3 linked regions of the Oryzias latipes genome follow. The protein of the gene in region 1 interacts with the protein of each later gene in a pairwise test. Links are inferred from orthologs where the notes say so. Each region holds a gene or a part of one and is shown on either strand. Other genes may lie near its edges.

Region 1 (3,651 bases):
TGAGGCAAAGAAGGCTGCCAAGATCCTGAGAGAATTTACGGAAATCTCCAACAGATATGGACCAGACAAACTTATCCCTGGTAAAAGAAATGTATATTTTTTTTAAGTTTTAAGAGAACAGTTGGAATTATGTTTAAAAAAATGTGACTTTTATATATTTTGTGTGTGTCAGCTCATGTCATAGCAAAGGCGGAGGGTCTGGCCATCATCTCTGTCATCAAAGCTGGCTTCATGATCACTGCCAGAGGAGGCAGTGGAATCGTCATTGCCAGACTCGCTGACCGAAGTAAGACTTTTTCGTGGAGTTTTGGACAGACTTCTGATGCCGGCTTATGAATCGTTTGCAGACATGTCTGTAGTTATGCTCGCGTCAGTTTTATCATGACCCAATCAGGACTTTAAGACTAATGCCATGAGTGTAAGACAGTCATTAGGGGTTTGTAGCTCACATGAAAGCTCACCCTTAAGTTTAAATGGTGGCAAGTCATTTAAAGTCTTAAAATTACTCTCAACAGTCTTAAATCTTTTTTATACTGTACTGTGGATACAAGATTAGATAGTTGCTGGTGACTAATGCGTCTGATAAGGCATACTTTGAATGCATAAACACAGAGGAGACGTATTACCGCTGACATACTTTCACTCTTAGGCTATTCAGCCTGAACACATTTGCTCAGCTTAAAGTGAGGTTACTCGGTCTGAAAGTCCGACCCGGAGCGAGCAGTTGTACCAAAATGAACACTGTAGCTGATGTAAGCAGAGTAGGAATGCAGCGACAGAGTAGCCGTGGACAAATATAAAGCAACAATTTTTGTGTTATCAGACAAAAAAATAGGATAGGCTTTTTGTGAGAACGTTTATTTTAACATGCCCGAAAGGGGTTGCTGTGACGTCATCTTAAAGCTACCTTTATACTTTCTTACAAATTCTCTTTTAAAAAAATGTCATAACACCACAACTGAGACAAAGCAACTCACTGAAATTTGATCAGATTAATTCAGAAACTTAAATTTTTAACATAATACAAATAACTACTCACTGTTTCCTGACAATCATATGTCATAAACACTTATTAGCATACCTTCTTATCTGTCTTCTTGCCAGTAACCGCCCTACAGCATGACTCCACCAGACCAAAAAGCGAGTAAAAAATGTTGAGCCTGATGTTGATGCAGACTTCCAAAAGTTGTGAGCGAAATATTAAGTTTGAATGAACTAAAAGCGCAGGACCTCCATAATGCCTCTAGTTGCTCTGCCCCACCCTCGTAATTCCTGACCAATGAGTAAAGAGATATTTAGTCACATGGTTTTGTTTACAAGCTTTAGCCCAGAACAGGAAAGTTCCCTTGACGGCAGTCAAACACAAGGTTCAGGACTCGAATCTGGACCAAATTAAGCTGATTGGGTCCGGACCAACAGATTTTTCCAGTCTGAATGAACCCAAAGTCTTATTAATACAGGCTCGTCTTTAATGAGCTTTTGTCTGCCATAAGAAGCTGTTGCACAGGCTTAGTTATCTAAAGAATACCCGTCATGCTGTATCATATTAGATTCTGCACCAAAAAAAAGAAGCGTGAAGTGGCATGGGCTCACCAGAGCTTTAAAAATGGTAACGAAGTAAAGTTGAAAGCTCTGCTGGGTCCACCCACATGTGGGACAGAGGTGAAGAGGCGTGTGCAAGCAGGTTGGAATGGATGGAGGAAAGTTAAGGTGTGAAGAGTGTCAGCAAGAACGAAAGGAAAGGTGTGGAAGACTGTGGTGAGAGCAGCCATGTTGTTGGTTTGGAATGTTGAGGATGGATAGGATCAGGAATGAGTCCATCAGAGGAACAGATGATGTTAGATGTTTTTGGAAATAAATGTAGGGAAGCCGATGGAGATGATTTGGGCAGGTTGAAAGGAGGGACAGTAGGAAAGAGGCCTGGAGGAAGACGGTTCATGGACAAATCAAGGAGGACATGAAGGTGTGAGCAAGGAGGAATTGGGGACAGGTTTGAATGGCTGGTTCGCTAAAGGGAGCAACAGAAAGAAATGTACGATTAAAATATATCCCATCTTAAAACCTAAAAATATGGTGCATTTGTTTCTGTTGATGCAGAGATGTTTTTACTACACATGAAAGATTAATACCTGCATTGAGCAGGCTTTTGTATGAACAAAAGTTAAACTCTAATGTCTTTGGATGATTGGTTTCAGCCAAGCTTTGATCTTTTATAAAAACATAAAACCAGGTTTGAACATAAGCATTTAACAAGTTTGAAATGGTTTTCATGTTCAGGTTGGTCAGCACCCTCAGCCATCGGTATTGCCGGCCTAGGCGGAGGATTTGAAATTGGGGTGGAAGTGAGTACACCTCCTTAACTTTTGAGTGAAAAATCCCCTGAAAGTGTTAGATGATGTTGTTCAACGCCACACTATGTTCAGGTGTCGGATCTGGTGATCATCCTGAATCAGCGCAGAGCCATCGAGGCCTTCACAAAGGGCGGGAACCTGACGCTGGGCGGGAACTGCACCGTCGCTGTGGGACCTGTAGGCAGGTAAATTCCTGCCCCCCCCCCCCCCCCCCCCCCCACTAACCCTCTCCAATCTGTCTGCGTCTTAATTGCACCTAATGTGTAGTGTTGATGGAAATGACGGGCCTTGCTGTGATGACAGCCTGAGGCATCCACAGCAGCATTAGCTCAGATTTTAAAGGGTTGTCGTGATTTGGAATAAGGAGGGCGTTGTTGGGGACGCTCGGAGGGTTCTGGCTCCCATCATTTTGTGGGTTTTTCTTTCTGCCTGTGGGCGTGGCCAGATGTCTCATTCCTTCATGTTTTCTAAATAAGCTACTGACAGATAAGAAGATGCAACGTGTTCGTGCATGAAAACAAATTCTAATTATAGAAATTGCACATAAAAACAAAACAAAAATGGATCCATATGTTTTTTTTGTCTTTTATGTCAATGTTTGGTTATTTCATCCGGTTAATCGTTTGCAAAAATGTATCCAAATAACCAATCTAGAGACTTTTTTTGTAGTTTTTTTTGGTGTGATCCAAAAAAAATTTTTCATCCATTTTTATACTCAATTGCAGCACCCTTTGAAAACCTTTATGCTTTTTATTCTCACAACAAAATGCCATTAAATAATAGGTTTAGATTTTTTTTTACATCATTTTTTTGTGTTTAACTATTTTTCCGCTTTTTTAAAATAAAAACTGTATTTAAACCTTCAGTTTATGGAGGAGTCGACTCACAAATACTCTATAGACCTCCTTGGGCGTATTTGGAGAATTAGAAATGACGAAAATAAATTTACCCCAGAGTTGTGGTCTGCCACAGCAAAATAACAAGCTCTTTGACCGTTAACGCAATCAGCGCAATTCCAACGGATTCTGACAGCGGATTTTGTGCTGGTATGCCGCATCAGAATCAGTTGTTTAGGTTTATTGGGTAGACGCTTCACTACTGTATAGTGTTTTCTTTTCTGAGCTTTAGAATTTACTGGGATTGTGTAAGCTCTAGCAAAAGCTGACTTATTTTATTTACTTATTTTTGTTCTTTATTATACAAACTATCTTTTTTCACACTATAAGGCAAAAAACAACATTGCACCTAATAATCTAGATCGCCTTATATTTGAAAATGTGTTCATGATGTTAAAGCAATT
Region 2 (3,651 bases), on another chromosome or scaffold:
CAGACTAGGTATATAAAACTAGACTGGCCATTATGGTCTTAAAATGTAAATCTACCTTCTTCCAACATCAGTTTGCAGCCACAAAATCCAAAAAGTCATTTGTAAACATTTTATTTTTAATTCACATAACTTAAACCATTAAAATGCATTACTGTTGGAAAAGGTTTAACTGCTTAGGATTACAAAACATTTAATAGACAGCAGTTTAAAGATGTTCCATCAACTCAGCCCCACATCTTTGCAGTGTTTGGCCTCATTGTAACACTTGGACATAGTTTTTAGGGACCAGAGCTCTTTTTCCTCTCAAGTCTGCCAGAAACCATTCTTCATCAACAGACTCCACGTTGGTCAAGATATCACCAAACTGTAAAAGAAGACTTTGAATTGATGCTTTTATTCAGCAGAATCTTGCAGGAAAAGAAAAAAAAAAGGTACCTGAATTGAGAGTTCTTCATCACAGTCTGATCTAAAGTCATATAAAGCTCTTGCTCTCATTCCACCAGCAGCTTTACTTCTCAGGTCAATAGTGGGCTGTTCTTCTGTAACAAATAGGAAAAAATAGTGAACATTTTAGTTCGAATTTTTTTTTTTTATTACAATTAACTGACTAATAAAAACAGTTAAATGTTGAAAATAGGATCTTTTTTTTCTAAAAACAGGCCTACAAATAAGCTAGATCCCAGTGTACCTATTACGGTCTGAACATAAATCCGGGGGAACATGCCCTCTCTGCCATTCAGTTTGCCACAACTCCACTTTTCATCCAAGTGCTTGGTCATGAGGATGCGGTCACCTTGGCGAAACGACAGGTCGCTGGAAGTCTTTGCTGCATAATCATGCAAGGCCACTGCCCATTCGTTAGGTTTGGAAGTCTACAGGAGAGTCCACAAACAAGAGAAACCATGAAAAGTTGTCCATCTAGAAGACATTAAAAAACAGCCAGTATCAAAAATTTGGATGCTAAATGTACAGCTTTAAAAACATTGGATCATCCTGTAACAATGTGGCTGTACATGCACAGAGCTATATTTAGATAGTTGTGTGCACACAGCTGTAATAAGGTTTTAAGGTAGTAAAATACACAAAAATAATGCTTACAACAGTGGGAATTCAAAATAAAACCCTCAAGCTTTGTTGCACAGGTAAAATATGTTGGTACTTAATGTATTGGGAGTCAGCATAACCAGCATCTTCTTTGTTGGGGTGTCCTCTGACATAAATATTACCTTAGCAGGTTTGGCAGGCTCAGCTTGTATGTTGGGAGGGGCGGCGGCGGCGGCAGCAGCAGCAGAAATACCTGCAGAAATGAACAGTTTATTAAGAAACAAGAAGAGCAAAGGATACGTATTTAGGTAGGAGCGTTTCTCAGGGAATTGTTGCATAATTGCAAAATAAAAAGAAATAAATCAAAACATTCTAGAAAATGAAAGAGTTTAGCAACTGGATTTGTACGTTTTTATTTTTAGCAACTTTATAGGAGTGGGGTCAAAAACCAAGGTCATGCATTCATCAACTCCCCCATGCGGTGGAGACCTTTCTCTAATGAAAGACAAACAGTCAATCAAATGCCTCACAGAGCTTGATTTAAAGTGCTCTTTCCTTATGAACAAAAACATTTGTGTAGAAAAATGTAAAAGCACTCTCATTTCCCTCACCTGGAACAAACATTTGGTTCAACTGCTGGGTTGGAGGCGGCGGCAGATCTTCAACGACCTCCACAAAGTTCAAAGGGAAAATGCCGATCGAGGCGCCGATCTGCCCTTGCGCCCACTCCTCCCCCACATACTTCTGTAGCTGGATCACATCCCCCTCAAAGAAGGTCAGCTCATCGCTGTGCTCCCCCTCAAAGTCGAACCTCGCCACGCACCTCGGACCACTGCAAGGAATAATTTAAAAAGCTCATCGGGACTTTGAAAAATAAGTAAATAACCGGTTTCACCATCACCTGAACTGTACCTGATTGATGCAAGCGAAGGCTTCTCTTTCTTTTCAGGGACAGGTGAATTTGACTGATTGAAGACATAAATATTACTTTTTTAAAAGCCTTACATCGAGACTGTATTTTTACAGGGAATTATAAAAACAAGACTTACCAGAACTTCAGCATAATTAATTGGAAAGAAACCTGTGGATCCTCTGCATGTGCCTCTGTACCACTGATCGTCGGCCTGCTCCACCCCTGTCACAACATCTCCTGCTCTGAGACTCAGCTCTTCTGGATTCTCTAAAAAATAAAAATCCAATCAAGGGTAAATTTAAAAATTCCAAATTCAATTATATTTTAGTCAGGAAATGTATCGAGGAGCAAAATATATTGTGAAAGTTAGCAATGATGTCAAAGAATGCTACCTTTGGGTTTTTGAAAAGAATGTCCTAAACTTTATTTTGTACACTAAATAAAAATGTTACCAGTTTTAAAGTTGCTAGTGTGGGACTTTCATTCTGTGATTTTCAGGATTCAAATAGAATACAAAGACCATTGCTTTGTCTTTTTGAGCAAGAAGTCAAAAATAGTTCAGTAATGCAGTTCTTCATGCATAAGGAGGATTATTTACAAGGTCAGAGCTTTCCTGAAAAGGGTCAATTAGGAAGTTGACACCCAACATAACTGAGTTAGGACATAGAGACACTCTTTCAGAACTGTGGTAGTTCTGCATTTGTGTGCTGTAATAGTCAAATCTTCAGGGACACCTTTGCATCATTAATAATATTTTGTGAATGGGAATGTCTGACTTGGAGATACACAATTCGAAACTGAGAATGAACAAAATGATGTGTTGATGGGGCACCTGCTCCAGCCTTAGATAAGAACTCAGAGACCTGAAGTGTGTAGCTGCAACGACACTAAAACATTAGCACATTATGTTTGACCAGTGTTACAATGAGATATATTTGTACCTGACAAACATAATGTTATGCTAAGCTAAAAATGCAAATCAAAAAAGTCAGTCACAAATTCTGCAAATCGTCCCACTGAAAAAAATGAGAGGTCTGGGATTTTCATCATAGGTACATTACAGCTGTGAGACACAGAATGTAAAAAAGTAGCCAGGAAATCACATTGTATGAGTTTTGAAGAATTTATTTATTTACATGTAAAACTACAAAAAATAAGTATTCATCTTCTACAAACAAGTGAGACTTCTGTTCCTCTCAGGGCTGTACCTTCTCTAAAGACACGCTCTGAGGAAAATTAGTTTTTTTTTGGTGTTTTTAAAGGGTTCTTTTTTGCATTTTTCTTATGATGGAGGACAATTATAAAAAGGAATATAAGCTTAAAGTTGCATTTCATTTTTTTGTCGACCAGGAGCAGATGAAAAAATGCTGTTAGAAAATGCTTGTTTTGTGATGTAAAAATAGATCAATTTATGTCTTTGTTTTTACTCGTCCAAGATGGCATCTGGCTCAAAACTGGAAGGCTGGATAACGCAAATACTGTTCACCATTTTTGTTGCACTGCTAAGATTAGCTTAGGGTTGTGGGGGCTGTAAACTATTGGGAAAGACTATAAACAAATGGATGACAGGAAGTAACGGAGGCCCCACCCACAACCCAGGGGGGAATTTCTGATGAACTCCTGCCAATCTGCAGAAACTATGTCCTAGAGAGCGACACAGGTTTTTGGGATTTGGCAAAAATGGCTTAGTTATA
Region 3 (4,156 bases), on another chromosome or scaffold:
GCATTTTTTTCTCATGATAGAGGACATATGTGAAGATAATCAACCTCAAAATTGCATTTTTGTGTATTTCTGTATTTAAATTGTTGTGAATTAGCAGGAAAAACGTTGTTAATGTGATGTAGAAACATCTACGGCAAGCCACTAGCTCCATTCTGATGCATCCACTTGTGGACAAACAGATCCATTTTTGCCATAGTTTTCCTCATCTGAGCTGGGATCTGGATCCAAACTGTCCGACTGGATAGCTCCAATATTGCTCCCATTTTTCCTTTGCTGCTCCGGTTATGTTAGGTTGGTAAGCTAGTGGGAGGGAGTGTAAACAGACGGATGATGGGAAGGATGTGGGGCTCACTTGCAGCAATGGCCACAACCCAAAGGTGGATTTTTAAATATTACTACCGCTATTTGGGCTAAAAACTGCCTCATTGTAAGTAATAGACCACCGGGAACATTTTTATAATAGATCAAAAGAGGATTGGAGTGGGACTTCTTTGAACTCTTCGTTACCAGTCCCAAAATTGAACATACTGGTTTGGACACCCTTTTAAGTCCTTACGTTTTTACGTTTATAATTTATGTTTTACTTGTATTTTATTTCTTCTGTGTGTCATATTTTTATGGTTCTGAGATTTAGAGCTCAAGTATGGAATAAATGTTGGTTTCATTCCTACATTATTGTATTTAACAGGAGAAAGCCAATAGGTTGTTAAAAAACATTACTGCTGATAGTTACTGTTTGTCATAATTCTGTAATCCCGTGCAGAAGTGTGTGTTTAGCCCTAAATGCTGAACTCAGCTGTGTTTGTCTAACAGCCGTCTTCTGCGCTGGATTTGCTCCGATCTGCCAAACCTTGGCTGGGTTCTTTGGGTTTGTTGCCTTCAATCAGAACCTGTTTTTTGTTTTTGTGGTCCAGTTTCTGGTCAGGCTGGAACGGCGGCCAGACGGTTTCACACAAATTCCTTTTCATTCAGTTGGAACAGAAAGAAAGAGGGTAAGACAAAAAAAAAGGGGGGGGGGGAGTGAAAAAGGGAGTGAGTCAGAGGACCAGGAGTGACAACAATCCACGGCCCACAGCTTTTTCAGTCGGATGCAAACCACCCCTTTATGCGCCATTCACTGTCTGCTGCCCTCCCTTCTCCCTGCCCCACCCTGTGGCCTCTGTGTTCTGGACTTGGGGGCAGTTCTTCAACTATAAAAGCCCAGTTTGTCCCCTCTGTGAGCCCATTCCCCCCGTCATGGAGAGCCAGAGAGTCCAGTCCTCCTACAGGAAGCGTTTCGGGCCTCAAGGCCCGGGCAGTGCAGGGGGAAGACTATCGTCCAGCCGCCTCTCCTGGCATGGAACCCCTCGAAACATCTCCATCTCCAGCCCCATATCCCGGACCTCCCTGGGCTCCTCTACCGCGGCCCTGCTGATGGGGAGTCCAGGGGATCGGCTGGACTTCTCCGCCGACTCCCTGCTGAAGGCCCAGTACAAGGAGACGCGCACCAATGAGAAGATGGAGATGATGGGCCTCAACGACCGCTTTGCCAGTTACATCGAGAAGGTGCGCATGCTGGAGCAGCAGAACAAAGTGTTGGTGGCAGAGCTGAACCAGCTGAGGGGGAAGGAGCCCAGTCGCCTTGGGGACATCTACCAGGATGAACTCAGGGAGCTGCGGCGGCAGGTGGACAACCTGACCACAGGCAAGGCTCGACTGGAGATCGAGAGGGACAACCTGGCTGCAGATCTGGCCACGCTTAAGCAGAGGTAGGTGTGAAAAAAGGTGGTTAGTGCAGGGTGGTGCTCAGAGATAACCTTTATCCTTTGTGTCTCTTGTTTGGAACAGAGCTGTGGTTAACTGAAAATGTAACTTTCAATTTCAAATTTCTGAAAAAATACCCAAAAATTAGAGAAACTTAACTCTTTTTTTAAAACACATTTTTATTTTCAAAGGATAAATTTGATTTCAAATGTATTGCTTTAGAATTAAGTCCAGTTTATCTGGATTAGGTTGGAGAAATCCTGGCACAGGGGAAGAAAACGTTTTCCTTTTTTTTAAATTACAAGAGCATTTATATGTAGATTCTTTTTGAGAGGGGGGATTTGTTAGAATGCAGATCTCCATGGTCCGCCTGAGCTTTGCTACTGGATCCCTCTATACAAGCCTGATCCCGACTGAACCCCTCGTCAGCCCCGAAAGAGTGTGGAGGAATGAGGCCAACACAATGGTGGCCCTGCACAAAGAGAGCAGCCGGGGAGATGTTCTTTGAAGCTTCGCATTTTTTCCTTTGCGGCTGCTTGAATTTATGCCAGAAGTTTTAGAAAGAATGACTGAAGGTCTGGGGGGGGAAAAGGTCTTCAGCACAGTCCTCTTTGCCCTCTGCTCCCTAAAAGACGGTAGGGTGAATAATGATACGGTGGCTGAGAGGGTCAGAGGTCACCTCTTCATTGATGCTGCTCCCATACCAAGACTACTCAGAAAACTCTGCATGAACCTATACAGATGTTGGAGTGAGATCGTTGCGTGTCTGTGTTTGGCAGATGGATTGTGGGGCGATGTCTGTTTTTTTAATTTTTTTTTATTTTGTGTCAATGTGTGTTTGCATCCTCCTTCCCGTGGGAAAGGCCTCTGGCTGTTAGGTCGCAGTGAATGTGTAATGATGCATAAGCTGCCCTTTCAGCTGAGCCTGGCTCCTCCTCCCCTGCACCACAAGGAGCAGCATTAAAAGCATAAAAGTAGCTGATGTTGTGTGAGAACAGAGAACGACGGGGTTATTTGATTCCAGACCAGGGAATCAAACATCATCAGGGAAAAGGGCAGCATGTGCACTTTTTTTGTTTTTTGCCCCTTAGACGATACAGAAATAAATATTTTATTGCACGCTGACAGCGAAATATGAGTTTTGAACGATGTACAAAAATGAATCGTATAATGGAAATAATGTTAATGTGAAACTCAGCCCTGATTCAAACCCAATCTTCTGGGGACCTCAAAGCAGGAACCTTCAGGGGGCCCCACCCCTGAGGATATTGATCACATCATTGTGATGTATAGTTGTGTCTGTCAATGGAAAGGAGAAGGAGATCGGAGAGCCTTTCTTCTTTCACCAATTTTAGCTTGGAGAAAGATATCTCTACTGTTGTTGTGGACATTGGAAAATGACCACAAGAACAGTAGATTAATCAACTAGATTAGCAGAAAAATCTGATTCTCCAACTCACAACTGGATGTTATGTGACGTCATTTCCATAAAGGGCAGGGGCTCAAGCACCTCTAGAGGTCCTGTGTGTGCATAGGACCTCTAGGGTAACGCCTGTTGAAGCAAATAGACTCCACTTGGGTTCCAAAATTACCTTAATTTAGCATCTACTTGGAAGCAAAAACACTAAATCTTTTTTTTTTCCTTAGCTGGAAATAAATTCAGAAATTAAGGGGTTCATGAAAAAAAGCTGCATTTAAAAGGTTGTGTCTCCCTTCAGAGAATCTGAAAGCGATCTGTTCTCTTTTGACAGGCTGCAGGATGAGATTGTGCAGCGTCAGGAAGCAGAGAACAACTTGAACGCCTTTAGACAGGTAATCTTTAGTGTCACTGCGTACATTTTGCGCATTTTAGCACATCTGAAATTTCAGTCTGTTTTGATTCGTGCGTGATATACGTAAAACAAAAGTGGCTTTTGCTTTGGTCAGTCGTCGATGTGCTCAGATGTCCAATGAGGGTTTCGATAGACAGGTCTTCACAAGAATTCGGTTCTGAGCTGTTCAAAATTTTGTTGCTTGAGAATGACGAAGTTTACGCATATTTTAGGAAGTTTACACGCAATTAGTACGTAAATCTTACACAAAAGTGCATGATTTTTGTGTGATGCATACACAATTTTGTGGCTTTCCACAACTGTTCCACTTGTGTCTAATAGTATTAGTCATACATTATGTGCCATTGAAGTATGACTTTTAAATCCTGTATACGGCGCATATATGTTAAAATTACGTAATTGACGCACAAATCACTAATAAATTATTTAGGAACAGCGCAACTTTTCTGAGTCCTCGTGTCGTTGTTCACGCAGGATGTGGATGAAGCATCTCTCAGTCGTGTCCAGTTGGAGAGGAAGATTGAATCTCTTCAGGATGAGATCAACTTTTTGAAGAAAATACACGAAGAGGTTTTTCAAAG

The links.
Region 2: the proteins of sh3yl1 (region 1) and sh3d19 interact in binary tests that used the Homo sapiens proteins (3 or more experiments, as listed by UniProt). The link is inferred for Oryzias latipes from reciprocal best matches to the Homo sapiens genes SH3YL1 and SH3D19.
Region 3: the proteins of sh3yl1 (region 1) and glial fibrillary acidic protein interact in binary tests that used the Homo sapiens proteins (3 or more experiments, as listed by UniProt). The two-hybrid records come from large-scale screens. The link is inferred for Oryzias latipes from reciprocal best matches to the Homo sapiens genes SH3YL1 and GFAP.

What each region holds. Positions count from the first base shown.
Region 1 is NC_019860.2:11,149,194-11,152,844, reverse strand, and holds part of sh3yl1 (SH3 domain-containing YSC84-like protein 1), read left to right. Parts: coding exon 1-80; intron 81-172; coding exon 173-286; intron 287-2,277; coding exon 2,278-2,342; intron 2,343-2,423; coding exon 2,424-2,536; intron 2,537-3,651.
Region 2 is NC_019859.2:19,163,663-19,167,313, forward strand, and holds the end of sh3d19 (SH3 domain-containing protein 19), read right to left. Parts: intron 2,225-3,651; coding exon 2,094-2,224; intron 2,010-2,093; coding exon 1,957-2,009; intron 1,877-1,956; coding exon 1,656-1,876; intron 1,298-1,655; coding exon 1,227-1,297; intron 873-1,226; coding exon 689-872; intron 540-688; coding exon 436-539; intron 365-435; coding exon 254-364; 3' UTR 96-253; downstream 1-95. UniProt on the Homo sapiens protein: May play a role in regulating A disintegrin and metalloproteases (ADAMs) in the signaling of EGFR-ligand shedding. May be involved in suppression of Ras-induced cellular transformation and Ras-mediated activation of ELK1.
Region 3 is NC_019866.2:4,110,138-4,114,293, reverse strand, and holds the start of glial fibrillary acidic protein, read left to right. Parts: upstream 1-1,206; 5' UTR 1,207-1,236; coding exon 1,237-1,748; intron 1,749-3,494; coding exon 3,495-3,555; intron 3,556-4,049; coding exon 4,050-4,145; intron 4,146-4,156.